Lepisosteus oculatus: one gene and its partners. The protein of the gene in region 1 purifies or fractionates together with the protein of each later gene. This does not show direct contact. Links are inferred from orthologs where the notes say so. Each region holds a gene or a part of one and is shown in the gene's direction. Other genes may lie near its edges.

The links. Proteins that work in one complex are often made in the same cells at the same time.
Region 2: the proteins of otud5a (region 1) and ruvbl1 purify together in Homo sapiens (affinity purification with mass spectrometry, with the first as the bait; 3 studies listed by BioGRID). This does not show direct contact. The link is inferred for Lepisosteus oculatus from reciprocal best matches to the Homo sapiens genes OTUD5 and RUVBL1.
Region 3: the proteins of otud5a (region 1) and khdrbs1b purify together in Homo sapiens (affinity purification with mass spectrometry, with the first as the bait; 3 studies listed by BioGRID). This does not show direct contact. The link is inferred for Lepisosteus oculatus from reciprocal best matches to the Homo sapiens genes OTUD5 and KHDRBS1.
Region 4: the proteins of otud5a (region 1) and zgpat purify together in Homo sapiens (affinity purification with mass spectrometry; 3 studies listed by BioGRID, with this or other methods). This does not show direct contact. The link is inferred for Lepisosteus oculatus from reciprocal best matches to the Homo sapiens genes OTUD5 and ZGPAT.

Annotation. Positions count from the first base shown.
Region 1 is NC_090697.1:76,471,812-76,479,660, reverse strand, and holds the start of otud5a (OTU domain-containing protein 5-A), read left to right. Parts: upstream 1-4,828; 5' UTR 4,829-5,090; coding exon 5,091-5,690; intron 5,691-7,849. UniProt on the Homo sapiens protein: Deubiquitinating enzyme that functions as a negative regulator of the innate immune system. Has peptidase activity towards 'Lys-48'- and 'Lys-63'-linked polyubiquitin chains. Can also cleave 'Lys-11'-linked ubiquitin chains (in vitro).
Region 2 is NC_090699.1:66,360,205-66,367,162, reverse strand, and holds the start of ruvbl1 (ruvB-like 1), read left to right. Parts: upstream 1-3,935; 5' UTR 3,936-4,072; coding exon 4,073-4,213; intron 4,214-5,080; coding exon 5,081-5,167; intron 5,168-5,669; coding exon 5,670-5,802; intron 5,803-6,958. Other genes in the region: eefsec (selenocysteine-specific elongation factor), read right to left, coding at 2,758-3,073. UniProt on the Homo sapiens protein: Possesses single-stranded DNA-stimulated ATPase and ATP-dependent DNA helicase (3' to 5') activity; hexamerization is thought to be critical for ATP hydrolysis and adjacent subunits in the ring-like structure contribute to the ATPase activity.
Region 3 is NC_090706.1:3,047,658-3,054,706, forward strand, and holds the start of khdrbs1b (KH domain-containing, RNA-binding, signal transduction-associated protein 1), read left to right. Parts: upstream 1-4,026; 5' UTR 4,027-4,368; coding exon 4,369-4,462; intron 4,463-7,049. UniProt on the Homo sapiens protein: Recruited and tyrosine phosphorylated by several receptor systems, for example the T-cell, leptin and insulin receptors. Once phosphorylated, functions as an adapter protein in signal transduction cascades by binding to SH2 and SH3 domain-containing proteins.
Region 4 is NC_090711.1:13,476,536-13,483,622, forward strand, and holds the start of zgpat (zinc finger CCCH-type with G patch domain-containing protein), read left to right. Parts: upstream 1-4,064; 5' UTR 4,065-4,172; intron 4,173-4,932; exon of another isoform or gene 4,933-5,030; intron 5,031-5,257; 5' UTR 5,258-5,294; coding exon 5,295-5,926; intron 5,927-6,673; coding exon 6,674-6,807; intron 6,808-7,087. Other genes in the region: arfrp1 (ADP-ribosylation factor-related protein 1), read right to left, coding at 10-91, 1,239-1,321, 1,439-1,526, 1,722-1,815, 3,823-3,920. UniProt on the Homo sapiens protein: Transcription repressor that specifically binds the 5'-GGAG[GA]A[GA]A-3' consensus sequence. Represses transcription by recruiting the chromatin multiprotein complex NuRD to target promoters.

The DNA of each region.
Region 1 (7,849 bases):
ATACATGCAGCCTATATTGTTTTGTTCATTGGACGAACTGTTCTCATATTTATGTGTATATTGTGTTCTGACGTTACATCACCTTCCCCAGGTTATTCTTTTTGAAGATTCATGAACTAATTTTTCAAATCCCATGCTCATTGCCCCATTTATTAGCATTAAGATTAGTAGAATCATAATAACCTAAGGCATTGAACACATCCCAAAATAAAAAAGAACATTAAGAATCAAGATCCAGGGGGAATTATGCCTGTTTTATTTTTCCAGGGGGTGAGGGAGTGGTATCCTTAATATTTATTATTGGAATTCACCACACATTCTATTAAGCTTTTTCCTGCTCCTTCTAAATTGGAATGACACTTTCTGTCACTTCTTCTGCCAGCACTGCAGCAGCTGTGGAGTACTGTATGCAGGGAGAACAGAACATCTGCTGCAGAGCTCTCGCCACGTAGCCCAGGACACACACCGGCTACAGCAGGTTCAGTAGATGATCAGCACCTTGAAGATGTGGTGGAAGGAGATGTTAATGAATGAGCAGGTTTTGACCACTTTAGGCCTATTTAGAAATTATTTAAAAAAAAATATTTTGGTTTGTGTTTCTTTACTGACGTAGCTCAGTCAAACTTTAGAGCCCATACAGTATGTGCATTTTAAACACGCTGTAACGATGAGGACAGTTTGGATCACAGACCAAGATGTGTTTTGTCCATCTTCAGGTGTCAAGAAAAGCATTTTCTAAATGAAGAAACAGAAATACTTTCTCCTGATTTTTTTTTCTGTAATAAAGTTTGAGTATTGAGAAAGCTCTCATAAGCCTCGAATATCATGGAGGAGCTGATGGGGATTATTAGTCATGTCTTCGCTACAGCTGGGTAATGATGGGGCAATGCAACTTTAAAGTAATCTAAATAGGCACCGTAGTAGGTTGGCAGTGATACACATATCGTTCGAACAATAGCAGGGTATTTTTGGCAATGCTGTATACGAATGAGGCTAAAAACTACCATCAAAACTCCTTCACAAACAATACACAACACGATCAAACAACAAACATCCCGGAAAAAAATAAATTTCAGAGTTATACTAGGACCACTGCGTCTGCAGAACATCCTTGTCAGCTCTCAATTCTTAATTCCATCGTTTTCACCTGACTTCTCTCTACCTGGAGACCTGCTCTTAGCATTCGGCTGAAATGACTGTGTGTTGCGTTCTGAACTACTATGAACAGCTGAGTGCAGGTAATGTCCTTTGCACGAATGGTTGTAAAATATTGTAAGTGTTGTTATAACATGTAGTGTAGTGTTTATGAAGGAGTAGTGGCAGTGGTTTTTAGCCTCGGTGAAGTAAAATGTTATTGTATTTTTTGATAAAGCTAAAATAACACATTCCTGTAATATTTGTATGTGAATAATCAAATGTGCAGTGCAGTTCTGTATTTCAGAGCAAATAATGAACAGATGAAGATGAAGCACAGTGTCACTTGTAAACAGAAATTGAGTTTTTGTCAGGATGATAATAAACATTAGAAGACGAAATCTCAAAAAGTGTGTTTTCCCCGTATATTGTGTGCTACCGTATATTGGCAGGGACAACACTTAAGACAATGTCCTCACAAACAGGGGTCCTTCACTGGATTAAAGAATTCCAGCAGGCACAACCTTATAAATGGGTTCAATGGGAGTTTTTAAGTTGACATTATATATCGACGATCTGATATGTCTGTTGAGCCTTTTAGCTCAACCTTTTTAGACAGAGAAGACTACAAGAGAACCTGGGGCCTGTATTCCTATAGGGCACAGACGAAATCAGTCTGGGGGAGTTCTTCAAAATCAACAGCCAAACACAAACCAGAGGACAAATGTGGGAAATACGTGGAAGAGCATATTACATTGAGAGCAGGAGGCACTTCTTTACACAAAAGGTTGTGGGAGTGGGGAACAACTTGCCCGGCCTTTCCGTTGAAGCTGGTAAATGATTTCACAGGAAGTTTGGATGTGACTTCAGAGGCATTATAATATTCACAAAAAAAAGGTTGTCCATAACTGCTAATTATGTTTGATTTACAGACAAGATATAACACCCCCTCTACAGAGCATATACTTTATTTTCCTGATATAAGACATCTTAACAAGAGGACAGAGTAAACAAAAGATTTACCATCTAATTACATGCAATACCAAATGCAATCTCTTTCCATCTCGAGAGCAAGGGTTCACATGATAGCACATTAAATCCAAGATTTTTATCCCCCAAGAAATGTCTACTGTGAGACAAATATTCAAGAGGCCGCTAGAAAGTATCATCTGCCATCTTAAATAAATAGATACAGATTATCTCCTTGTCTTATAAAGCATTATATCTCTATTATTATAGGTGGGTAGCTGCGTCAGCATACGTAGGCTGCAAAGGAACAAGTAATAGGTTTATTCCATGCTGAAAAAAAGAAGAAAGAGAACACAACGTTTCGGCACCTGAAGAAGGCTCCACGGCCGAAACGTTGTGTTCTCTTTCTTCTTTTTTTCAGCGTGGAATAAACCTATTACTTGTTCTCTATTATCATGTACTGGATATCTCTTGAAATTGCTCAATCTACACTACTAGAAGTTTAAGCATTATTTTATACATCAACATCAATTTTTATAATGACATATCAAGCTATAAATGTAATTCCAATTGAATAATTTATTGGTCGTGTCCAAAAAAAAACTTGGCAGAGATATCCAAAAATGATAATGCTCTCATAACCTGTATATTTGTTGTAAATAGGCTACAGGCAGTTTTGATATTCTTCAAAACTTAGGTCGTGCAGCATTTACCGATGTAGTCATTCTTGTGAGGCAAGACTCCTCTGTTATTGAGGCGTACAGGACGCAGAATGCAGCCGAGGGACCTGTCCGTCTGGCGCTAGTTGTGACCCAGTTGTGAGGCGGTGTGCTCCCTTCAGCTGCCTCCCTAAATTCTTTCTCTTTTTCTTCTTCTGTTTTCTGAAGGCATACTCTCCCGTTTCTGACTGAACCATATATATATACACAACAAAGAATATGCCTGTTAGAGGTTTATATCAAATACAAAAAGACTGGCTTGTGTACTCAAACTACATTTTCTTCAGGACATCTCAAATCTAGCTAAGCAGCCATGCGGACAATAACGTGGCGAGTTCGTCGGTTTCCAAACTTAGAACAGGTGAATGAAAACAGTCTTCCTTAAACACACAGTGCTCAATACGACACCCTTGGCGTGTTACTTTTGTACAGTACTTCTGAAAAATCAGCGTTTTCTTCTCGCCATTCACGTTTAACGTTTAACACGACCTCCACAGGTGGAGCAGCCTACAGTACGTTGCTTATCGCTGATTTTTTTCTCCGCTTTTTACAACGAACAGGAGGCGGGCATTGGCGCTAGGGTGAGATCAATTAGGTCCAACGTTTTTTTTTCCCTAACTGGAGATCCGTAAATAAATACAGAAGCAGAATCGTTAAGAGGCGAAAAAAAAGGAAATTGTTGGGACTTTTTTGGCAAAGGGGCAAGGGCTTGAGCCCGTGTAGCCACCCCGCTGTGCACGTCCCTGCATTAGATGTTGCTCTGCAGGAGGGTGGGTTCCTGTGCGTCTCCCTGGTTGTTTCTTTAATTTTTTTTATTAAACGTATAAAGAATTTACAAATATAAATACCAGAGGATCAGAAAAAAACAAACAGAAAAAAACAATTAACTGCAAAAGATAATGAAGTAAATGATGTGATCAAATTGTACATATATCAAATGTTTTCTTTGCTTTCACATTTTCCAAAAAGGTATAGAATTTAAATAGTTTCAACTCCACCTCAAAAGTACATAAAAGGGGAGTATTAGACCCTGTTGATTTATGAATGTGATATTTACCCAGAATGACTAATACATTTACTATAAATAACTTGCTCTTTTTCCAAATTTTCTATTAAACAGTACCATAAAATATCAAAATCCTTTATCTAAAACGCACCTTTAACTGCCTGCAAACAAAACTCTGCAAGTCCGTCCAAAACAGCGTCACAAACCTACAGCTAACAAATAAAAGCACCGAAGACCCCCCTTCAGCCCGACAAAAAACACACAAATCATCCTGCTCATGCTTACATTTAGAGAGCACTAATTTAACCGGATTAAATGTATGAATATCATAATCGACTGTGGTAAACGTGTTTAGTAGGCTTGAGAATCTGAGTAAGAAGAAGAAATATTGTCCGTTTAATCTAAAGGTGTTGTGAAATATTCTGTGATTATGAGATATTAAAATTGAATACAGGAGCTTTCCAAAATGCACATTATAATTACCAAGCACACGATTATTTGATTGTAATTACTGTATAAATAATTGCGTTTTTATAAATAACCCCCTTAGTGTATGCAATGATAAAGTTCCTTTCTGTAAATACAAGGATCGGTTTCTAAATCCTCGGACTACGGATTCTACAAAGGACATTGTACTGACACGAAATTGTCTTCTGGAAGAAAATACCTTTTTTAAAAAAAAATCAACTCGTTACTACTAATACGATATTCAGGAAGGGCCACGTGGACGGTTCAATCCCAAAAGTCACGAAATCTAAACACCTAGTAGATTACAGAAAATGTAGCCGGGGGAGGTATAAACATATATTTATAAAACCCCGTAGCTGTTTGTTTTGTGCAGGTACTGTCCCCTTGACAGCGGCGCCGCGCCACTCGCGCGGGGGCTGCTGGTCCCTGGTTGCTAGGCAGAGTGACGGACGGGTGCGGAAGGGGAGCTGTCAGCGGCTGCGGGAAGTGACGTCGGCGTGTCGTCAGCAGTGTGTGTGTGTGTTGATGTTTTGTGGAAGGCTGGAGGACGGAAGGAGGGCCGGCTTGTTTTTGTTCTCCGAGTGAGAAAGCTCCCGGGGTTGGACTGGGGTTTCATTTTTTTTTTTTAAAGGGGAAAAAAGACAGAGGTAAAACGACGCCTTTGGAAATCGCGAAGGGGCTACGCGCGGTCCACAGACAGGGGGGGCTGCTGCACAACACAGCGCACGTTAACGGCCACCGCTTGAAAGGAGGAATCGTCGTTCCCCAGCCCCCCCCTGCGAAAGCAGACAACCATGACGATTCTTCCGAAGAAGAAACCCAGCTCGACAGTCGGGGTGCCTGACCACCCGGACGAGAGTGACCGGCGGAGCGGTCCGGACTCCCACCCCCACTCGCACCAGCACCCTCATCCCCACACACACGGCGGCCGAGCCGGCGCCAGACCCAGGGCCTCCCCGCCGCGCTGGCCCTACCAGGCCGCGCCGCCCTCGTCCAGGGAGGACCGGAGAGGCGAGGCGAGCTCCCGGCCGCAGCAGGCCTCGCCGCCGCCCGTGGGGTCGGGATCCCCCGTGGGGCCGGCGGACGGCAGCGGGGCGGGCGGGGTGCCGTGCGGGGCCGGCGGCCGCGGGGAACTGTCAGGCGGCGTGGGGTGCGGCGCGGGGGTCGGGGTGGGCGCCGGAGTCGGGAGCTGTTGCTCCGGGCCCGGCCTCAGCAAGAGGCGGAGGCAGGCGGCCTGTGCCGGCGGTGTCGCCGGCGGAGGGGTTGTCGGAGTGGCCGGGGGAGGCGGAGGGGGACCCAGCCCGGACCCGGAGGAAGGAGCGGGATACAACAGCGAGGACGAATACGAGAACGCGGCCAGACTGCAGTCCCTGGACCCGGCGACCGTCGAGCAGGTACGGGGGTGCAGGACGGACGCGAGTTGCCGATTGCTCGTCCCTGCCCGGGGAGAACCCTCTGGGTGGCGGCGTGGGCAAGCTGACAGGTCTCGGGCAGGAGCGTTGTCAACACGCGTGGCGTGTGATTGCGAGTATCGGATCACCATGCCTAACGAAACGGATGCTTTGCTTTATCCTGTGATTTGCTTCTGCACTCGTACATCATGGCCGGTGTTATATGTCACTTGATGACTTTAGCATATTTAAATATTAAAGCCCGAAATACCCAGCCAGATACAAGCTTTTATTGTCACCCCCTCTTTGCAACTATTATTCGCGAATTTAAGGCAGCCTTGTTTTTCAGTGGCCCCCGTTTAAAAGTGACCTCTTGGAGGTTCAGACATGACGTTTGTCTTTTGGTTAAGGTTTGTGTAGAATGAGTTTATTTCCCATAATTACAGACTTTGTGTAGAAATAAGCATTCCACTTTTATTCCAGTCCGGGGTAACAAGTTAGGAACCTTCAGTCCCCCTGGCTAGAATGAATGAGTGTCAAACTTATCATGTCCCTGTGTATAGAGATGACATCCTGCTGTATGTCTGAGCAGCCCGTGTTTAGTGTATTTAATAAATGAGAGAACCAGCTGGAATGGAGATGGAGGGTGTCAATGCTCCTGTGAGTCTGTCGTATTGCAGCTGTTATGACAGATAATCATTTAATAACAAGTAACTTTTTGCAGCTGCTCTGTTAGAAGCCGATTCATACAGGTGCCGTGGCCGCGTCCCTGCGTGAGGCAGTGGCCTGGCAGAGCTTTAGAAAGTGCCGAGGCTGGGCTCTGTGGGGAGACGGCTCTACAGCCTCTGCTTGAGTCAGACCCGGTGGCGGGGTTCAAGGCATCACTCGGACATCAGGCTTCCCCTCCTCCGTTCTGTTTTTTTTGGGGTCGCGTGTACCGGGGTGCAGAGCAGGGGTGTGCGGGCGTTGGGTGTGTGAGATGCCCTCATCCGCGCCCTGACCTCCGGGCACAACAGCTCTCTGCACCAAGCCAGTGTGCGGTTACAAACCAGTGTGATGTAATTTACAGCTTTTCGGCATCCATCTGCTTTCACACGCGCACCTTGGGGTGCATTGTTTTCCACCGGGCGCCAATCACCGCCTGGCTTTCAGCTCCGGCGAGCAGTCGCTCCCCACCCCATTGCACCCATATCTCCCAGTACTGGGGTGCGGCCTTCGGTGTGCTTCCTTAACAACAGGCCACCCTGGTTACAGCGAGGGCTGCTGCAGTCTGTCTGCACCCCCGTGGGCTCCCCTTGATCGCTGAAGAAGCCGGTCAGGCTGCTCCCTGGCTGGTTCGTGTTTCCCTGCCCCGCAGCCCGGCTCCCAGTCTCTGCTGACCACGTGGGAATGTGAGGGCTCTCCCCAGGGAACAGACCAGGGCCTCTCCTTGGTCTCGTTTGCAGCCGGGCCTGCGCGTTGAGCCCTGATCTCCGGAGAGGGCAGGGGAGGCCATCAACCCGTCTTGTGTGTCAGGCCTGGGCAGGCCGCATCGGGCCGGGAAAGCGAATGTGTTTCGGAGGAGCGTTGCCCCGCGAGAGGACTTTCACTTCCCGGTCTCCTGCTGCACAGAGCCCCGTGTGCTCATCCCAGGGGAGAGTCCGATCCCTGACTCCTCAGCGTTTTCAGAGGTGCTGTCCTGCAGGGGCAGTCAGGGTCGAAACTCTGAGGAACTCACTCGCCGGATGTGACTCCGTCATATCCCAGTCTTCTTTAATCCCAAGCCGTTGCCCTTGAAGATCGGGACTTGGAGGCGTCCGCAGTGCCGCGCCTCTGCTTGCGGATGGGGTCGTCAAAGCGCTGCAGAGAAAACGAAGCTTCGCGTGAGGCTTCTGAGCCTCTGTGAGTTTGGTCAATGTAGCCGTAGTTCTACGTGTTTGTTTTGGCTGTGTCCGCCGGAGAGCGAATTGGCAGAACATCGTTATTAGACTAGCCGCAGAGAAGACATCGCGCGTGCCTCACGGTGCTCCGAGTGAGCCGCTCTGTGGGATAGCCAGCGCTTCAATCGCTGCCAGCTTTCTCTTGGAAAGCGGGGAGCAGCGTGGGGAGCCGCTCATGGCTTCCTGCGGTCCTCTGGACAGTCGGAGCCGATCCCCAGGGCCGAAGGTGTTGCCGCGTGTGGC
Region 2 (6,958 bases), on another chromosome or scaffold:
ACACACCACTGAAACACACCTGGGCACAGGTAACACACACACACACACACACACCACTGAAACACACCTGGGCACAGGTAACACACACACACACACCACTGAAACACACCTGGGCACAGGTAACACACACACACACACACACACACCACTGAAACACACCTGGGCACAGGTAACACACACACACACACACCACTGAAACACACCTGGGCACAGGTAACACACACACACACACACCACTGAAACACACCTGGGCACAGGTAACACACACACACCACTGAAACACACCTGGGCACAGGTAACACACACACACACCACTGAAACACACCTGGGCACAGGTAACACACACACACACCACTGAAACACACCTGGACACAGGTAACACACACACACACCACTGAAACACACCTGGACACAGGTAACACACACACACACACCACTGAAACACACCTGGACACAGGTAACACACACACACACACACACCACTGAAACACACCTGGACACAGGTAACACACACACACACACACACCACTGAAACACACCTGGACACAGGTAACACACACACACACACACACCACTGAAACACACCTGGACACAGGTAACACACACACACACCACTGAAACACACCTGGACACAGGTAACACACACACACACCACTGAAACACACCTGGACACAGGTAACACACACACACACCACTGAAACACACCTGGACACAGGTAACACACACACACCACTGAAACACACCTGGACACAGGTAACACACACACACACCACTGAAACACACCTGGACACAGGTAACACACACACCACTGTAACACACCTGCACACAGGTATCGCATACAGGAATGTCAAACATGACTAGACACAGGCATTGCTCTGCTGTAACACAATTTGGCTCTGGAGCAGAATTCTTATTTGAGGTGTTGAACGGACACTGGTTCCCAGGTGTGAGAGAGTGCGTCTGTGCAGGTGAGAGGAGAGAGGGAGAGACGGACGGAGCACGCAAGCTCTCCTGGACGTGTCCCCTCTCTCCGGGAGGAAGTGCCCAAACTCATCCACCGACTCCTCCGGCCCTAATTAAGATCATCTGCCGAGCCGCGCGCACACACAGCCCCGCATTCATCCGCGCGGCAGCCCCGGACGCTGTTTACACTAGAGCCACTCTCCCTCCGCCTCTCCGCGTCTCCTGTTACAGGAAGCATCGGCTGCTCCCGACATCCACGAAGAGGAAAAGAAAACAACATCAAGACGAAACCCAGAGGAGAGAGGGGGACTGAATTCACACAGCTCAGCCAGCAAGGAAGTCTGCTCCTCCGGGAGGAATTGCTGTAACTCTCCTCCGGGAAGGTCTGTCTCCTTCCAGAGTCCTGCGGCCAGTGTCACAGGAGAGGAGCTCCTGGATACGGCTTTTTAATAAATCCTGACACTTATATAGCGCTTTTCTGGACACTCCACTCACAGCGCTTCACAGGTAATGGGGATCCCTTCCAGCACCCCCAGTGTGCACCCCTCCTGGACAATGCGCCAGTCCGCTCCCCACCACCAGCTCTCAGTGGGGAGGAGAGCAGAGTGATGAAGCCAGTCCAGAGAGGGGGGTTATTAGGAGGTCATGATGGGTATAGGCCAGTGGGAAATTTGGCCAGAAAACCCGGTCTCATTCGTACCCTTCTCGAGAGACGCCCTGGGTTTTTTAACGACCACAGAGAGTCAGGACCTCGGCTTTGTGTCTCATCCAAAGGACGGCTCCTTTTTACAGTGTAGTGTTCCCATCACTATACTGGGGCATTAGGACCCACACAGACTGCAGGGTGAGCGCCCCCTACTGGCCCCACTAACACCTCTTCCAGCAGCAGCCTCAGCTTTCCCAGGAGTCTCCCCTCCAGGTACTGACCAGGCTCACACCTGCTGAGCTCCAGTGGGCTGTGAGCTGGGAGTTACAGGGTGATTAAGCTGCTAAATGGTTAAGGGGAGCTACAGCCCAGGCCTGACTGCAGCCTAGGCAAACGCACATGTCTTGATGAAAATCCTAAAAGAACGGTGGAGTTAAGACCCGCGTGCAAGAGCGACGGACTGCGGCTCAAGACGGCCGGTAGTCTGTACGCGCTTGGATGCGGCCCTCGTATGAACTCAAGGCTTTCTCTGCAATAGCAGTGCAACAGTGCCACCGTCTGGTGACAGCTGGCATTGCAGCACAACACAGCTCTGCAAAGTGAGCCAGACCTCGCGTTCGACCCCACAACACAGGGACCCGGTTCGACCCAAGAGACACCCTGCAGCAAGATGACGCTGACGCACACCTGTGCGGCTCTCCACTGGTTCTGACATTAAGCTTTGCCCTGAAATGTAAAGAAAATTCAGATCTTCGACCGACGGCCCCTCGCCAGTATTTGTCAACGGCAGTAACAGAAGGGCATCGCCCGGGATTCATCTTTAAAACAGCAGTTACGAAACTAGCATTGGAACTTGCAGAGCAGCTGAGGTTGTAGAGGGGCCACAGCACTGACATGCGAGACCGGCATCGCCTGGGGAATGAACTACGGCAGCTCAGCTGCTCTCGCCGGGAAGCGGACAGCAGCTGGACACTGGTCTAATCCGGTCCGGTCCGGGACACCAGGCACGCAGTCGCCTTTTCCTAACTTGCACGCTGCGGAGCTGCAGGACTTGCACCAGCTGTGCAGATCAAAGGCAGCAGACACAGCTTAGGAGGCCCAGAGTTAGCAGCGAGAGGCTTCGCACTGTCGGCACGCCACTATCTTACCCCCGATGATAGTGCGGATGAGCGAGGCGTGCCCCGGGCAGTCGACCAGGGTGAACTGCAGGCGGCTGAAGCCCCTCTCCCGGCACTGCTCCCGCAGGTGCTCCGGCAGCTCCACCGAGAAGGAGGAGAAGCCGAGGTCCAGCGTGATGCCCCGCTCCCGGGACTGCGGGTTCTTGTCGAAGGCCGCCGTGGACGCGGTGCTGCTCAGCGCCCGGGCCAGCGAGGTCTTCCCGCTGTCCACATGGCCCAGCACACCCACGTTGAAGTTCAGGGTCGCGGTGCCGTCGCCCTCCGCCGAGCCGGCCATCGCAGCCATCCCCGGATTGCTCAACTGGACTCTGCCCTGCCGCAGACCCACACGTTGCCGGGTTTAACTTACTAATGTGGGCCCCGGCGATTCAAACACGAACCCTGCCCGTTTCCGCGTTTCTCTTCTGTTGTTGCCGCTGCGATAATTAATCAAGCAACACAATTTCTCGGAACTCCTGCAGAACTCCAGCGCTGTCTCCCGCAGGAAAAACTACACTTCCGGTGTAGCAACTATCCCATTCCGTTGTGAAACACCGATGGCGAACATGTTTGTTGTGTTTCTGCTGTACCAGTACCAGCAGCAGTGCAGATGACTGCCCTGACTATGAGGTTTGTTTAAACCTCCTATCCTACACAAACGTCATTGTTAAAAGCAGTAAAAGAGATAGCTTAAAATATGTCGAGTGGCTTCTTTCCCCTATAGATGTGTTTGATAAGCCCATGTAATCTGCTTTTAAAATGTACTTCATTTTAACGCCTTATTTAACTTGTACTTTTACTAAATTTTTAACGCAGTAGAACAGTAGTAATTTGAGATAAAAGGCATGATATTTACAATAAGATCATTCTTATACAAATTGTAGTTTCATCTTCACAATTATTTTCTTTAAAACGAACGTGTTGCGTGTAATAACGATGAGCAGGATTGGTTGTAATTATTGTAGTTTAATGTATTTTTCTCTAAAACCAAACGCTTGGTTTCCATGGGGACGGCGAGCGGAGCAACACCAGCGGAAAGAAATCCTGCCGACAAAACACTAGTTGAGCGGGGTCAAAGGACGTCTGTTAGACAGACACCATCCCTATCCAATCACTGTACAGGTCTCCGTAAATCTGACCAATCAGAGCTGCGACTGGAAAGCCGCTGACAGAGAGGGCGGAACTTCCTCCACCTCCTTGGTTACCCACATGGAAACGCGCGCCGGCGTTAACCGTCCAGCATCACGCAGTAAGGAGTCTCCCAGGTTTCAGAGCCGCCGGAACGATTTGAACCGTGTGTCCAGGCATGAAGATCGAGGAAGTGAAGAGCACCACGAAAACCCAGCGCATCGCTACGCACAGCCATGTCAAGGGCCTGGGGCTGGACGAGGCCGGGATGGCGAAGCAGGCTGCCGCCGGGCTGGTGGGCCAGGAGAACGCCAGAGAGGTACCGGCGCCGCGTCCAGCACATTGACGTTTACAGGGCCCGGGGGCTCGCGGTTTGCGGATGATCATTCCCAGCTGCTTGTCTCTAAATGGAATACACCAAGTCACCAGCGAAGCCCTTTTATCTGTATTCAGGGGACGTCTGCTTGGGTTACAATGTCGTGCACACTTGTAGAAAGGTCCTCTGTAGCCGTGTTTACCTGGCGTGTGTTTGAATAGCAGACTCTGAAAATTGGATGCTCTGAGGTTTACTCATTGAAGGGTTAGGGTGGGTTAAAATACTTCCTTTTTATCGGGCCAGGCTTCTCAGACGTAGCCGGTGGCAGTGTAGCGGAACACGGAGTGTGCGGGTGTGTGGTCAGCCGCCGTCCTCCAGGGGGCGTCTCAGCTGTGCTTTTTACTGGGGCGAATGCAGTTACTCAGACCCCCGTCCGTGTCTGGCACCACTCCAACCCCCCCAAGTTTCCTGCAGCTCCAGGGTCCTGTGTTGCTGTAGGTCAAAGCTCCACACAGCACATCTCATGTTGTCAGGGCTGTCTCTCTCTGGGGCTGTTAGCACTTCTCTGCAGCCGTGTGTCGGGCCCGAATACACAGGTAAAGGTTCGTTCCAGACAGAAGGGCAAAGAGAAGAAACTCAGCTTTTTAGCTGTGGAGCCTTCTCCGGTCATGAGGGAGAGAGGGAAACCCGCAAACAGGGCACAGGAGAGGAAGGACAGAGCAGGTACGAAGAGGCGAGGAACGGCCAGTCTGCTTTCTGTGCCTCTCGTCCTCTCGTCTTTCCCCCTGCGTGGGCTGTCCACTCCCTCCCCTACTCCTTCCCCTCCTCTGCTCGTGGACTGGAACTGAACTGCCACCTTTTCTCTTTCAGGCCTGCGGCATCATCGTGGAACTGATCCGCTGCAAGAAGATGGCCGGCAGGGCGGTGTTGCTGGCCGGACCCCCAGGAACTGGGAAGGTAACTGTTGGGGGGAGAACTGGAGATCACAGCAGCAGCACCCTGTGTACTAACAGAATGGGGCAAAAATGGAAACATAAGGTTTTTGTAGGAGCAGGATTCTCTCTCTACCCACCATGATAAATCCATACATATCTGTTATATATACATTTAGCGTTATAATATTATCAGCTCCGTAGCCATGTTTTCCTTCCCTTAACCCGACAGCTGACATGAGTGCGAACTGAACGAGCTTTCCGGCAGAAACCTGAGTGGTGTCAGGCACTACTGCTCCCAGCATGCCGTGCTTCTCGGCCTGACCTGTGGCCCTTGTGGACTGGAGCAATTGTGTGCAGTTAACATGTTTGTGCGTGAATGCATTTGTCTCTTGTGTGTACGCTTGTTTGTACAACCTGTTTGATTAACCTGTTACTCTGTTATAGAAGGATCTGTTCTAAGTTGTAGCTTTGATAAGCTCGGACCTATCTGGTGCTTACTGGACGTTGCCCCTCTCTCTTGACAGACTGCTCTGGCACTGGCCATGGCTCAGGAGCTGGGGAACAAGGTGCCTTTCTGCCCCATGGTGGGCAGTGAGGTGTACTCCACGGAGATCAAGAAGACCGAGGTGCTCATGGAGAACTTCCGCAGGGCCATCGGTGAGACCGGGTCATGGGGGTCACAGGGGTCAGTAGGGAGGGTTGGGTGAGCAGCACAGAGAAATAACACCTCTCATGACCCCAGTGATATACACCGCAAGATATAAGCCTGTGCAATGCTGTGGCCACACAGTGCTTTGAAATTCACCCCTGAATCATTTTCCTTTTGTTTTGATTTCAGTGCACAAATCCTTTTTTTTTTTTTTTTTGGTGTTGTCCATGTTGATCCTCAAATACGTCTTCAAAGACGTTTCCCGGTGATGCAAATGTGCAGAACAAGCTCTGCTCTGTGCGGCGGGGTTGTCAGGTCGCCCGCGTGTGAATTCCGCAGGGGGGGGAGAGGCCGGAGCCCGGTATCTGGCGTCTTCTCAGAGCAGACTCACGCCCTTCCTGCTGCAGCAGGGGGAAGGTGTCAGGTGCCTGCTGTCCTGTAACAGACGCGGCTCTGTCTGGTCCTCCGCGGGCCCGCTGAGCGGGGCAGGGGGAGAGGCAGCTGCGGACGCGGGCAGGCAGGGGGAACAAGGGGCAGTGTGTGTGTTTGGCAGGGTGCTGACATAACCTGTCGCAGGTGTGGAAATGGAGACGGTGGCAATGGATCTTCTACGTCCGCACCCCCACCCCACTTCCCTGCCCACTGTGGGGCGCGTAGAGTCGCCACATTCTGGGCTCGTCACCGAGGCGATCGGGGGGCCCCGATAGCGCCGGCGCGGACTGACAGGTGCGCACTGTCTCTGTCCCCCCTGCCTCCTCCCGCTCGACCACCTGCGCCTCGCGCGGGACAGAGGCCGATTCACAGAGGAGGCAACAAAGGCCCCTGTGACTCGCCGGCGCCCCGGTCAGCCTCGCCTCGGCATGGCCTCCGCACACGAAATCTGCCGCTTCTCAGGCGTGTTGGCTAGATTCACTCCAAAGCCACAAGACAGGTTTACAGACGTGCTTAACATAATTCTTCGAGCAAAGGTGCTCTGTCCAGAGACGGGACACGGATAAGACTCGCCACCACATCTAGGTCACGTTCCAGGGACCCCAGACTCATTAATCGAGTTGTTCTGATGACGCAGGAAAACAAAACATCTTGAAAACAGGAGCTCTAAGTGTGCAATGGCTTCCCTCTCGTTTGCAAGCGTTCTGATGTTCGGAGTGTCGCAGATTCCAC
Region 3 (7,049 bases), on another chromosome or scaffold:
AGCGGTGTTCCCAACACAAACCACACAGAACAAAAAGAATTGATAACAAATGAAGACAGTGAATAGGGAGGATTAGACAAGGATAGGGTTACTTCTGCCTGAATCAGATTCTCATTTTGGTCAAAGAATTTTCACTCATCTCTTAGAGACGTCTGCATTTCCATCGCATGACGCGCGAACTCAATCCGTTGTTTTAAAGCGCTGAATTGAATTAGGTCCCCGTGGAGAGGATTAGATCAAATCCCCTTGCCCGTGCCTCGGGGGGGGGGGGTTGAGATGATGTAAATTCTGTTCATCACAATGCTTTAGTACCTTAAAAGCTGAAAAGTTATACAGCCCAAGTCACGGTGCAAACAATGTTTTCAGCACAGCAATGTTTCTTATAGCTTTCGCCTTGCTATCTGGCCGACAAAAACCCTGTTTATCGCACAGTGAAAACGCTCATTACTTTTGGTCTGTGGCTGACGTGTCCGCCCAAGTGACTTGCATTAGTCCCCACCTCTACAGCTAATAATTCTACTGGCACAATCTCAGTGAAGAATCTTGCTGCTGCCCCTGTCGATAAACTACTGACCAAATTGATGATTTGTATTTAAATCTGACTTGTTTAGTCCCTCTTACATTTCCACACTCTCATCATTCAGATAAACCCTCCTTACGAGCAGCAATGTTGCCTGGAAGAGCCAGCTTGTCAACATTTTGCTTCAGTCTGCACATCCTTCTCAAGGATGAATGGAGCAAGTTGAATGCCTGACCTATGATAAATAATACATTAACTCTCGTCTCTTGATACTTTTGCAAAGCTCTTCTGTTTCTGTACTTTCACCTCCAACATCATGGGCTGCCAATGTGTGCTTCAGGTTAAGAAGCCAGGTAATCAATCAGTTTGATTAAGCTTGCAAAGTATGTAGTTTTCATTTTTGCCTGATCTTGCAAAACTCATGAATGGGGTGAATATGAATGGGGAGAGGAGCTGGGCAGAATTAGAAACTCTAGCAATTTACAGAGGAGTTGTTAACTCCTGCCTCTGGGGCCTTACAAGAGCAAACAAAAGTGAACAATGGGCATGGCTCTTTTGTGTAGGCAGCAGTCATCACACTCGTTCAGGCTTGCTCTTGGAAGTCTCAGAGGCTTCCAAGACGTTTGCGAAGGTGTTCGCACTTGCAAGACAGCAGAAGTCACACCAGTCAGCCCAATTAACAATGAGGGACTGTAGACAGCCTCACACCTGCTCTACTAGAGAATAGGTGTGCTGTATGGTTTGTGACAAAGCAAAGGAAACATTCAGTAACGTGAATGAAAGAAGTTCTGACATTTTAGTACTATGGAATATATGTCAGAAAATAAAGTCACTTTGTGGTATTTTACACTGTACTAACATGAAGGGGGTTCTCTTTTATAGTTATAGCCTGGAGAAATAAAACAAAATTAGAGACCAATTCAGATGTTCAGTATTCAGGGGCTGGGTATGTCTCCAGTGGTCATGTCTGGCACTGCAATAATGAGTCTAGTTATTGGACTATGATCCATTTGCTTTCCCATATCAGAAGATCAGTTGTGCTCTTTATCTTGTCTGTTTTGTTCCTGATTGCACAGAATCTGTTGTCCAACTGCATAGGTTAACAGAGGATGTCCATTGTGAGCCAGTGTTGCTTTATGCTACAGTAAAGATGAAACAAAAAAGAGGTATATGTTTTTTTTTTCAATTGTAATTACAAATGAGATTAATGAAACATTAAAATAATCATTTGTCACTTACCATCATACATCACTTATGTGCTTAGGGGGGTAAGATATAAAATCAACCAAAAGAAACACCGCTAATAGCCAATGGTTGCATATCTTCAATATTTTAATGAACTATATTTGTTTTACTGAAACTCTGCCTGGGTCGTGTGCATTGCAGCCATGTTTTGCAGAAAACAAGTCTCCTTGGCATTTAAGGCATCTCTGTTTTGGGTGGTGGCAGACTGGGTGGACTACAATGGGCTTGTTTAATTTCAGAAACAAGGCGTTAGACAAAAACAGGACAGAACTGGGACCGGGTGGGACTGGTTTCTAAACTTAAACTGCCAGTCTGACAGTTTAAAATGATAGTCTCACACAACCCATCCCTTCAAGGAAAATATACCGCTACCACAACACTGGGTATTTTGTGGTGAAGGAATAAAAAATTGTACTCGGGAAGTCTGGGCTGGAGGAGGCTGAAAGAGTTAATTTTGGGGGGATTGGTCTGGCGCATAAACAAGACGCCAGCCTGAAAGGTTTTGATTTAGGTTTTTGTTTCTCCCATTCCCTTATGTGAATTTTTAATTCTCTGTGTGAGAGGGAGCCCAGACTCCCGCTTAGTGTTATTAGTATTTTATTGACAAAACACTTGTTCTCTTAAGCTCTGGGAACATTGTCTTGATATACACCATGTTTTCATTTGCATTTCAGCAGATTGACAGGGGGACTTATCATGGGCCCATAATTCCAAACTGCACCTAGGATATTGTAAGAAAATAAAAACCAGATTAAATGCATTAGACACATTTAGCCAAAGGTAAACAAAGTGCTTTTTCTAGCACAACTGACATTCCTGTAGGAACTATATAACTATATATTTTCAGTTCAGAGAAGTGGAGTTCCGATGTGTTACATTTTATATACATCAGTTCCTCACAGATATCGGTCATCCGTCCATCTTTATTATTATAAAGAGTTATTATCGGACCACGTAGGCCTATACAGGGCCAAGGTGAGCTGGAGACAGAGGCCAGAGGGAGAGCATGCAGAATGTGCTCTATGTTGTACTCGAACACCAGACCAGAGAGCTTTGGAGACTGGAGAGAGCACTGCCATGCTCCCCCGCATAAATAATTTTAGGAAATTTTAATAATTAGTTTTAATAATAATATTTCCTTGCATCCGCACGAGTGCCTTTCACCCCAAGGGTGCTTTCCCTACAGGAGGGGCCCCACATCGTCCAGTACTGAAGTGCGCCCCCACCAGGGTGACGCGCAGCAGCCCACAGATCAGTGGGAGGGGAGGGGTGAGAATTTGCTTCCCCAGTTGAAGTAAGGAGGGAACTCTGGGGAGGTCAGATCGTACAAGCACACTAACAGCGCCATGGCAATTTTAAACGACCAAGCAGTCAGGATCGCGATCTAACATTTAATCCGTAGAACGGCACCTCCTACAGAGTAGCAAATTGTCTCTTATCGCCATACTGGGGCACCGGGTTATAAATTCTGGCCCAGAGGGAAGAGTGCCACCTACTGGTCCACCAACACCGCTTACAACAGCACTGATCAGGCCCACCCCAGCATCATCCATCTCCTGATACACAGGTCGGAGGTTCACGATTTGCGGGCGATCAACGAACGCCTCGCACACACTTCACAGTATTTTCCTATAGAGAGTAAAAAAGCTCCACCTTCCGGACACACAGTGTAAAGCATTCCGAAAAATGAATAAAGAACAATTAAACCCATTGTCCATAAAAGTTAACCCATGTTTGCCGGAGCTGAGAAAATCAGTGATGAGACGATGTAGTAAAGCAATGCTCCACCGTGCTGTTTAACCGACTGAACCACACGGCATAGTATTTCTTTTTAGACATTTCTGTGGTCAAATAGGAGATCCTAGAAATATCCCTCAGAGTTAAAAAAAAGAAAACAAATCTGCAGGTTTGTTTGGCAACATTTTATCGACGAAGTTGTTAACCTGTAATGCCTTCGTGTTCCCCTTTGTTACTATCAGAGCAGAAACGACAGAAGCACACCACCCAGATTTCGGAAAAAGTACTTTAATGTCGTTAAAAATAAAAAAAAATCGACACATGTCGCGTTACCTCGGTTTTACGTAAATGTACAGAGAGGGGCACGGCGTGATCTCCAACCAACAGTGAGGGGGGAAAAAAAAACCCCAACCACAACACATTTTTATCGACGCCAAATTCATTTAAGAACAGCGGGCCGGCTGCGCCTTTAAAAATTACAGCGGTCGGAGGTTGTTGTTTTTTTTTCAAAGGGGGAGGGAGAGCCCGACCATTTTGAATGAATTTAGTGAGCTCACTTCCTCTCGGCTTGCTATTTTCCCCCTCGGTCGCAGGATTTTTTGTGTGTGTGTGTTCTCAATCGCTTTCCATTCGTAGGGAGCTAAGAAGGAGAGAAAGAGAGGGAGGGAGCCATTACGAGGTTGCTAACCGACACGACCGGGAGGCTCGGCACACACTTGGGCCCGATCTCAGCCAGACCTGCAGAAGATTACGAGGCCGCTAGGAGCTTTTCCCCCCCGCTGCTGCAAACGCATTTTTTAATCCTATTTTTATTCCTCCTCCTCCTCCCCAAGACTGTAAACGCAGCAGACACAATAGTAAACAAAATGGAGAACGAAAGCAAATATCTCCCCGAGTTGCTGGCGGAGAAGGACAGTCTGGATTCCTCCTTCACTCACGCCATGAAACTGGTGTCCACAGGTAAATCGAGCCGCTCTGGAAACTTTTCGTTGTTGTTGGTGGTTTTTGTGTGTGTGTGTTAAGGAATAAACGGGGCGCCGAGCTGCCAAAAGCCGACGAGAAGGGGGGCTTTTCTTCTTCTCCTGCTGCTGCTTGTGACGGTGAAAATGAAAAGCGTAAATGTTTCTGAAGTTGGCGGGGGGAAGAGCGCACGTCGTGGGGAAGAGTGTCTGTGAGACAAAGGGTTTCGCTCACCCCTCTCGCACACGGCCGGGTACTTGTTGGGTTTTTAATTAAAAAAAACGACACAACGTTTTTTTTTTAATGGTGTTTAACATAGTCGGGCGGCGTTGGTGTTCTTTGATTCTCGCTTTTAAATTTTAATTTAAAGCCGGTAACCCGATCGGGTCGGCATTCGTCTCGGGTGTCTGCCGGCGGCGTGGTGACGACGAGCCCCGGGCCGGCCGGCCGGCCGAGCAGCTCCCCGGTGAAGCCGCCGCCGTAAAATGTAAAAAAAACAATAAAAACGAGTCGTTTTTGACTCGTTTCTCGGGGGGGTGAAAGGCGAGGAGAGGAGAGCGTGTTTTCCCACGGCGTGGCTTTGTGGAGTGTGAACAGGGCACTGTCGGGGAGGGAGGGGGGCATCAAGTTGCAGGAAAGGATGGCGCCCTGCCTGCGCTCCTCGGGTATTGAAAGTGTGCGTCTCGGTGCCGACGGTCCCTGCATCTCGGTCCCTTTTGTTTTCCGATCTTGATGCGGTTTTATTTTTCTTCTTCTTCTTCTTCTTCTTGTGTGTGCGTTTCTCTCTCGCCACGCCTGTCCGCCGGTTAAATTGCAATTCACGAAAAGTTGGGATGCTGCTTTTGTATTTATGGGAAGTTTTAGCTGTGGGGGGATGAATGTGCGTTTCTGCAGGGGGGGTACAACCGCCCCCCCCCCACCCCCGAGTACTTATTTTTCATCAGCAGAAGAAAGATATTTTAGAAGCGACCTCGGGTTTTTTTTTTATGAGTTGAGCTGCAAATCGGGACGTAGGTTTTTAAACTGTAGCGCAGCTTTAAGCACGATCTGCATATGATGAGCGAATTGATAAATGGCGAAGCTCCCCTTTCTTTAAAAAGAAAAAGTTACAGAATGGGGAAAAACGGATTTTTCCATTGCCGGACCGCCTTGATTGCAGAAGCGTTAATTGTTCCCTTTGTGGAGAGATGAAATCAAGCTTTAGCTGTCGTGCCGTTTACACGATTGAGCGTGTTTTGCATGTACGGAACCGGCGCATTTCAGTCGCTGGGCTCTGGGTTTACCTCAAATGCTTTTTTTTTTTTGGTCGACGGGTTTTAAGGAGTTTATCAACCCCGTGCCGAGACCTCGCACGGTAAATATTTCTCATGACACGTTTGGAAACTTCAGAAAGAAATGTTATCAGCCTCGGGATTTAGGGTCCAACGATATGTTCTTTTACAGCCTAATTCCAGGTGGCATCTTTCCTAACGGGGAAGATGGTTCCCCGATGCCTTATTTCTGGATATTTGTTTGTGTGTGTGTGTAACCGCAGCACCCTCAGTGTTTCAAATAAATGACTTTAAAACGACCGAGCCTCACTTGGCCTCGGTGGGGAGAAACCACACAGTCAGTCTCTCGGAGGAAGAGGCGCTTTAGATAACGGTGCTTCAAAAAAAAAAAAGCTCTTTTCAGGTCCCTCTGTCGGGGTGCGAGGCTCTCTGCAGGGGTAACTTCATTCCTTGGCACGTTTCGAGTTTAGTCTTCTGCCAACATCTCAGCTCGGGACTATTCGCTTGCCCGCTGTTATATTTTGATCCCCGCCACCGTCAAGTCCTCTGTTAGTTTTTTTTTTAAGTGGATGGCGAGACCCCCGGTGGGCATGGATGTCTTCAGGGTGGGGGGGTGACAGTCCAGAGGGTTGAAAAAGACTGAAATAGTTTTTTTTTTCGCTCCAAGCTGGGGGGGGTGGGGGTGGAGGAAAACCGTTAACGTGGCAAAATTATATTTTGGAACAGGACGCGATCAGACGTTGCTCTTGTTGGGAAGGAGGTTGAGAATAGCCCAGTCCATCGCCAGACGGGAGATGTTAAGCGAGTTGGGGGGGTCTCTCACGCCCGCTTGCCCGCTCCTTGAAACCAGCATTGAGCCTCTCGTCAAATGCCCATCCACGTTTTTTTGTTCTTTTTTTTTAAAAAAAAGAAACAACTTTCAGGGTCTGAAGACGTGGAATACTATTTTCTGGTTCTTTGGCAGTGGAAACTTGAATGTTTTCCAGCTTTTTAAACGGTGTGCCTGTTTCATATTAAGACGAACATAGTTTCTGCAATAAAAGTGTCACAAGTGGTTGTAAATGCTCGTTTCCCCGTGCTTGCCTGTGAGCTCCTGCAGTTGCTGGTTTGTGTTGAGCACTGTGAAATTTTTACACCCCCCTTTCAATTCTCACTTCGTCCGCCACTGCTGGTGGCTTGAAATAAGATTATTGAAATGTCTGGTTGCATCGGCGTGTTAATTGGACCAGCGGCACGATGGCTTAAACGTTTCAGTCTTGTTCTGTTGGCGATGCCGCGGCTGACATAGTCTTGCATCTAGCTTGGCTTCTGCCTCC
Region 4 (7,087 bases), on another chromosome or scaffold:
TGTACTCACCAAAGGCATTCTTCGATTCAGACAGCCGCTCTTCATCAGTGGAGTCGATCACGTATATCACCCCATGGGATTCAGCGTAATACTGCACCAGGAGGGAAACAGATCTGAATCAACCCTGAGCAGAGTCTGCATGAACACCTTTCTCCCCCTTTCCCTTTCTTGCAATATGTCTCAGTGTTGAACAGGGATTAATTTTTGCCTCAGTACACAGTGGGAAAAGACTGCAAGACGCGTCAGTAAGGCCACATCTGGCACATGGTGTACAAGTTTGTGTTCCACATTACCAAAAGACATTGCTTCTAGGGAGTTTTCCCAGGAAAGAGTAACCAGGTTAGTTCCTGGTTTTAAAGTAATGTTACACTGGTCTTGAAAAAATGAAATTATGAGGACACTTGATTCATGCATTTAAAATCTTTCAGGTTATTAACTCAAATAATCAAGTTGGAAAAGTGGATACTGAAAGGATGTCCATTCAGTACAAAGTATGGAAGTATTTTTTTCAACAAGTTACCCATTACTGTTGTTATAATGAAGCATCAAATGGTTCCATATGTTCTTATATATAGGTCCTATGACAGCTTCCTTTTGGTAGCAAGGCTCTGGGAGGTGTGCAAAATAAATGACGGTTGTAATTGGGCTCAGGAATTATATATAACACACCCTAATAAAACAAAAACTAAAAAAGTTTTAAATAACATTTAATACCACTGATAACCCTTCAGTGACCTCTAGTGGTCTTAATGGTCACTGCAGGTGTCTCCATGGGATAGCCTACCACAATTGTGAACAGCAGTGCTTCATGCCTCACATTGCAAAGCAACTGATAAATATTTAGGAAGAAGATTCTGTGAATCACAATATGAGCTATTCAGTTGCAGATTTTAGCTATACTATATATTATAGCCAGGGCCGCATGGCAGTGCAGTGGTTGGCATTGCTGTCTCATAACGCTGGTGCCCTGGGTTTTAATTCCGGGCCTGGGGTGCTGTCTGTGTGGGGGTTGTATGGTCTCCTGTGTTTGCGTGGGTTTCCTCTGGGTGCTTCCATCTCCTCCCACAGCTCAAAGAGATGCTGGTAGGTAAACTGGCCCCAGTGTGAGTGTGTGTCTCTACGTGCCCTGTGATGGACTGGCATCCCATTCAGGACGTATCTCGCCCATGGCCCCCCAGCAACCCTGAATTGGATGAGGCAGTTAGACCAGTTCAGGCAACCCCACTGCCTTGCCTTACTTTGTCCCACAGTGACTGCAGCTCGTCTTGACCTCCCAGGTCCCAGAACATGAGGCGCGCCTTGCCCACATCTATTGTGCCAACTGATCAGGAAAAGGGAAGGACACACAGATCAGTCTGATTTTAAAACATTGGCTGTACTGTCTAGATATATAAATATACTGTACAATGTATTTCATACAAAGAGGATCAAAACTTACTGTTCAAGCCCACAGTGGTGGTGATCTTGGACAAACTCATGCCCTTATAATTCTTGCTGAATTTAGTCTTGGTCTGCTCCAGAAATGTCTATAGCAATAAATGGAAACGGATGAAATCACTCAGTTGGCAAAATCTCACTGTCTAATAATACACACACACATATATATATAATGCATTTGCAAGTGTACAATAAGAGAATCACATGCAGGATTTTATATTGCCCATAAATCATACTGTCCATAGGTCTAAAAGGCATTCACTAAATTCACTAAAACAACTTACAGTTTTCCCTGCATTGTCTAAGCCGAGGATCAGAATGCAATATTCATCCTTCTGGAACATGTATTTGTACAGACCCGATAATAAGGTGTACATCCTGGAAAACAACAACCAAAAAAAACAAAACAAAGATCATTTAAAATGCCCATTTGGACTTTAAAAATACACATTAACAGATGCTTGATATTTGAGCAAGATCATACGCATTGCTTGATACTTTAAATCAATGCAGAGTAAAGATGTAGAGAAACGAGCCAGTTAATACATAGACAGGTAGGTGTAGATAGATCCACAAGGTAGGTGAAGAAGTCCTTTTTGGATAAGAAATCATGTGCGAGATAGGATTTATTGTAGTGAGAAATTTACCTTTTTTCCCCCAAAAAGCACAAAACCAAGTTTGCTAGCTAGCAGAAAGTAACTTGGTAAGTGTGGCTAATGACAGCCTTCTTACACAGAGCACAAACAGGATGGGAGACATGTGTTGAACTAGTCTTTCCAAACAATCAAGTCATAATATGGTATTCTTTGAAGAAAGTTCAGGTGGGCAGCTGCATCAGCATGCGTAGGCTGCAAAGGAACAAGTAAAAAGTTTATTCCATGCTGAAAAGAGAAGAAAGAAAACACAACAAATGAAGAAATGAAGAAATGGTGACATGGACTCACAGTGGTTACCACTGCAGCCTCAAAGCGCTGGGGTCTAATTTATAACAATGATCTAGATTCCGGCACAGTTAGTACCAAAGTCTGAAGATTATTTCAAAATAGGAGGATTACCAAACCAAATTGAAGATGAAAACACAAAACAGGAAGATTCTGATAAAATGCTCAACTCGGAAACATCCTGTCCTATGATGTTTAATCTAGACAAGTGCATATTATTACATGCCGAAAGTAAAAATGCAGTATAGATACAAAGTGAGGAACAACGGACTTGAAAAAGCTAAAGAGAAAGTGTTTGTTGACATTTGTATCTCCAGTTACAGTGGGCAAGCAATAAAAAGGTCAACAGAATATGAGGGGGAAATTATTAAAATTTCAGGATTTAAATCGAGGGATGATATGTCAAAACTATGCAATGCACAAGTAAGACCTCACTTAGAACACTGCATGATGGTCACCATGTGACTAGAAGTCTAGTGCGCTTCTGAAAATGTTCTAGAAAAAAGAGCAACCAGGTTCATTCACATTAAAAGGATGCCCTACATTTTCGGGACAAAGTGCTGAACCTTTTTAGTCTCAAAGGCAGATGACAATGAGGGGGACCTGATTTCAGCCTTCAAAATCCTCAAAGACATTGGCAGTGTCAGCCCAGTGTATTTCTTCACAATAAACAGAGAAAGACAACCCAGAAGTTACAAGAGGAAACTAGATTGGAGAACTTTTAAAACTGAGAACAGGATACACTTTATGGAAGGGCCATTATATGTATTATTTTATAGAGTTGATAATGTTATTATTATTATAACTATTACGTTATAACTATAATAAATATTATAATGTATACTCCGGCCTCATCAGGGAACGACTGGATGAGAACCCAGGATCAATAGCTTCTAGTTACCAAACGGGCGAAATGAGAAGAATCGTGACGTTAGTTCCGTGCTTCTGATTATATCTCGGCTAATGTTTACCTTTGTGTCTGGGATCGCCCGCACTTTACTTGCTGTTTAAGGTCTTAATAATCCAGCTGAGATGGAATTGAGATGATAGATTTCACTTTATAAAACCGTACAAAGGCGAATAGCTTACACACTCTCAGGTTAATATAATTGTAAATGCTAGTTCTTTTGTATTGGGGTGGATGTATTTAAAAGTGCGCTGTTAGAGATGACTGGTATTCCATCTAATTTTACTTAGGACTAAAATCCTTGTATACAGTACTGTCAAAATAATGAGCTCAATTACATTATAAAACAAACAAAACCAACTGGTTTGCAGCAGTACAAACCACAGGCTATAACTATTAACTCTGAATCAACATCCCTGTAAAATAATAATTTCTCTAATCCGTCGCTCTTTTCCTTTTTTGTTACCATCCTTAGATGTTAAAATAACCATACATGCATTTGAAAACTGCTCTTATAACACATTTCCTTGAACTTACCTTTCATTTGCGACCAAGTCATCATCCGTAAATAGGAAGTGCTTACCGACTGGCAATGCACTGTAGGAATTGATGTTTTTTGTTGGTTTCACCCCCATGGCTGCTGAACGGATGTCCTGAGCTTGAAAACTACAAATCCCAGGATACCATTGGAAAGGAAAAGGCCGGCGTGTAGTTTGCAGTGGTTACTGGGAATTTACGTTTTCACTGGTGCTTCTAAAACTGTAGATGTGGTCCAAATACACTACAATACCCACAATTCACAAATATACTCTAATAACTTCCTCTCAAAAATGGAAGGATATCAAATTGTCATTTAAATGGTGACTGCAATATCAGAACCGGTAAATGTAAGGTTACATTGCTTTTCTTATACTACATACCTATCAGTAATGCAGGATTTCTGTATGGAAGATTGTTAGCAACAGTTAGCAACTGAGCAACAATTTTTTTTATTTTTGTATTCCAGTTTATATATTTTGCGATTATACATCCTGATCAGTAGTTACCGTAAATATATTTAAAGGCATCAAACGCAAGAGATAAACATAGTTTTGGTATAAGTAACAAATCTGTGTTTTTAAGGCTCTCTTTGTATGTATCATTTAGTTCTTCGTGAATAAACGATTAAAAGTAAACAGTATTTTAAGAAATAATTTCTGGTTTAATATTTGTCTCCGTTACATGTTATAGATGTTATAAATGTTATTTTTCGTATGTGTAATTAAATTACTAAAGATATTGCTTTACAATTACACATTTTTGAACGGCGCCTTAATTAAAACTAGCAAAATACTTTTAAAATCAAAGCAATTGCTTTAAAGTAGCAATAAATAGCACTTATTGCATGGATTGCTTATCTCAGTGTTAAAGCATTTTCAGAGACAAATACGCTAGTTTTAGTACCCAATTTTTTACCTAGTTTAAACAGAGGTTCATACGGACGTCTGTGAAATGTTGACATCAGAAACCTGCAACTTAAGATGTGAAATCGATCGTTTCGTCTCTGGGATGCGTGACAGGTCTCATCTCCGTGTTAATTTATTCGGAAAATTTTATTGCTTTATTCTTGCGCTGAAGGCTAAATTGTCGGATTTCTCATTCTTCCAGCTTGCATCCCGGAGTAGATTGCCCAAGGGATTTGGAAATATCAGCTTCGGGAAAGCTTGGTCAGTTTGAGACAAAGGAGAAGAAGCAATCTCATAAAGGTATTTATGGGAGAGGCAGCAAGTGATTGGATTTCCTCTACTTTGAACATACTGACTCAAGCTTTTCCGCATGACTGTATTAAGACGAATGCTCGCCTGCTGTGTGCAGGGTGCCTCAAAGTGCAGGGATAATCACGGTTTTCCGTAGTTTGAACAGGAGAAACAGTTGGAGGAGGGAGAAACACATCTCCAGGTTAAAGCGTTTGACCTCTCCTCTTCCTCGCCAGACCGATTCCTGAATGCCGGCCTGTCCCCCCGGTCGTGATGGACGAAGGTAGCTTGGAGGCGGCCATCGAGACTTACCATGCCCAGCTCCAGCAGGTGGAGACGGCCCTGGGCGCCGGGCTGGAGCCCTCCCAGCAGTCCGACCTCCTGCAGCTGAAGGAGGACCTGCTCCAGCTGATCGAGCTCACCGAGGCCAGCCTGGTGTCCGTGAAGAAGAGCCGGCTGCTGGCCAGCCTGGAGGGCTCGTCGGCCTGGCCGGCGGAGCCCCCCGCGGGGCAGCCGCCGGCGGGGGACCCCGGCATGCGGGACGAGTTCGCTGCGTTTTACGCGGCGGTGAGCGAGCCGTCCTGCGCCGAGCCTTCCACCAGCGAGAGCGCCCCTGCGGCCCAGAGATCTGGAGGAGGATCCGGCAGCCCCGGATCTCAGCAGGCAGCTGAGGAAGAGGAAGAGGAGGAGGAGGAGGAGGATGTGATGAGTGGCATGAAGGTCTGTGCCCCTTACCGCACCTCCTGGGGAACGCTGGAGTACCACAACGCCATGGTGGTGGGCACAGAGGACTCGGAAGATGATGACCCGCAGGTCCGGGTTCTGTATGTCCACCCGACCCAGAAGTCCATGAAGCCCTGCCCCTTCTTCCTGGAGGACAAGTGTCGCTTCATGGACAGCTGCAGGTGAGGAGCTGCAGATTGCCACTGGGAAACTGCATCTGTTCCCCTCTGGATGGGTTCAGAGGCAGACTCGCACAACCATTGTACCCCTGAAGCTGAAAATATGATGGAATGCATTGCAGTTGTTTTAGCTCTTGCATACCTTTCTGTGATTTATTCCAAAGAATTCAAATTAAAAAATACACAGCACCTCCTTCTTTATAACACACTGGATTCTTTATAGCTTCTTGGCTGCTATGTAACACAGACAAAAAGAAACATATCCTAAAATAATGAAGCATGTTCACTCGGAGATAAGATCGCTTTATTGGCCATATACAATTTCTTGCACTAGGAATTTGTCTTTTCACATACCCCAACTTGCTCTCCATGAGACCCACAGACAGGGAGAGAAGCTTGGGGTTAGAGCGCAGGGTCAGCCACTTATACGGCACCCCTGGAGCCGTTGGGGTTAAGGGCCTTGCTCAGGGGCCCAACGGAATAGGGTTCCTCTGCCGGCCGCGGGATTTGAACCGGCAACCACTGACGTGGATTGAAGTTGGGGTTAAAGCTGCACGCTGACCCCTGTGATTGCCGTGCCTTTAGACAGAACCGTTGTTTATAAATGGAGCAAAGCCGTTGTGATTCGGCTGCTCTGAGCCGGCGCTCCGGATCGAATCGGAATTGGAGTGCCCGCGATACCGAGCATTCCCGTCCGTTCCCACACTGTCGTGAATCTCTCCCCGAGTTCGTCCTTTTCGCCTCCTTCAGGTTCTCCCACGGAGAAGTGGTGTTGGTGTCCGAGCTGCGGCCTTTCCAGGAATCGGACCTCAGCTCACTCCAGGAGGGCTCAGCCTGTTTAGCCAGGCATGAGGATGGCATCTGGTACCCGGCCAAAATTACAGGTTTGTGGTGATCGCTCATAGGCCCTGAACGCACGTGAGGTACTCATGAAGTCGTCCGCACAGTGGACTGGCCAGCTTGCACTCATCATTGTTTGTCCAGCCATTCTGAAACATACATTCAGGTAACAATTTCAAAAAATGAGACAACACAGCAATATTGAGCAGTGTTGGCATCTAACAGCAGCATGCAACGGCCTAATCTCACCAAAGCCTTCTTTGAAGGGCTCTCAGGGTTTGGTGGATTGTCCACAAATCTAAGTCTTTTCCCCGTGTGGCCCGT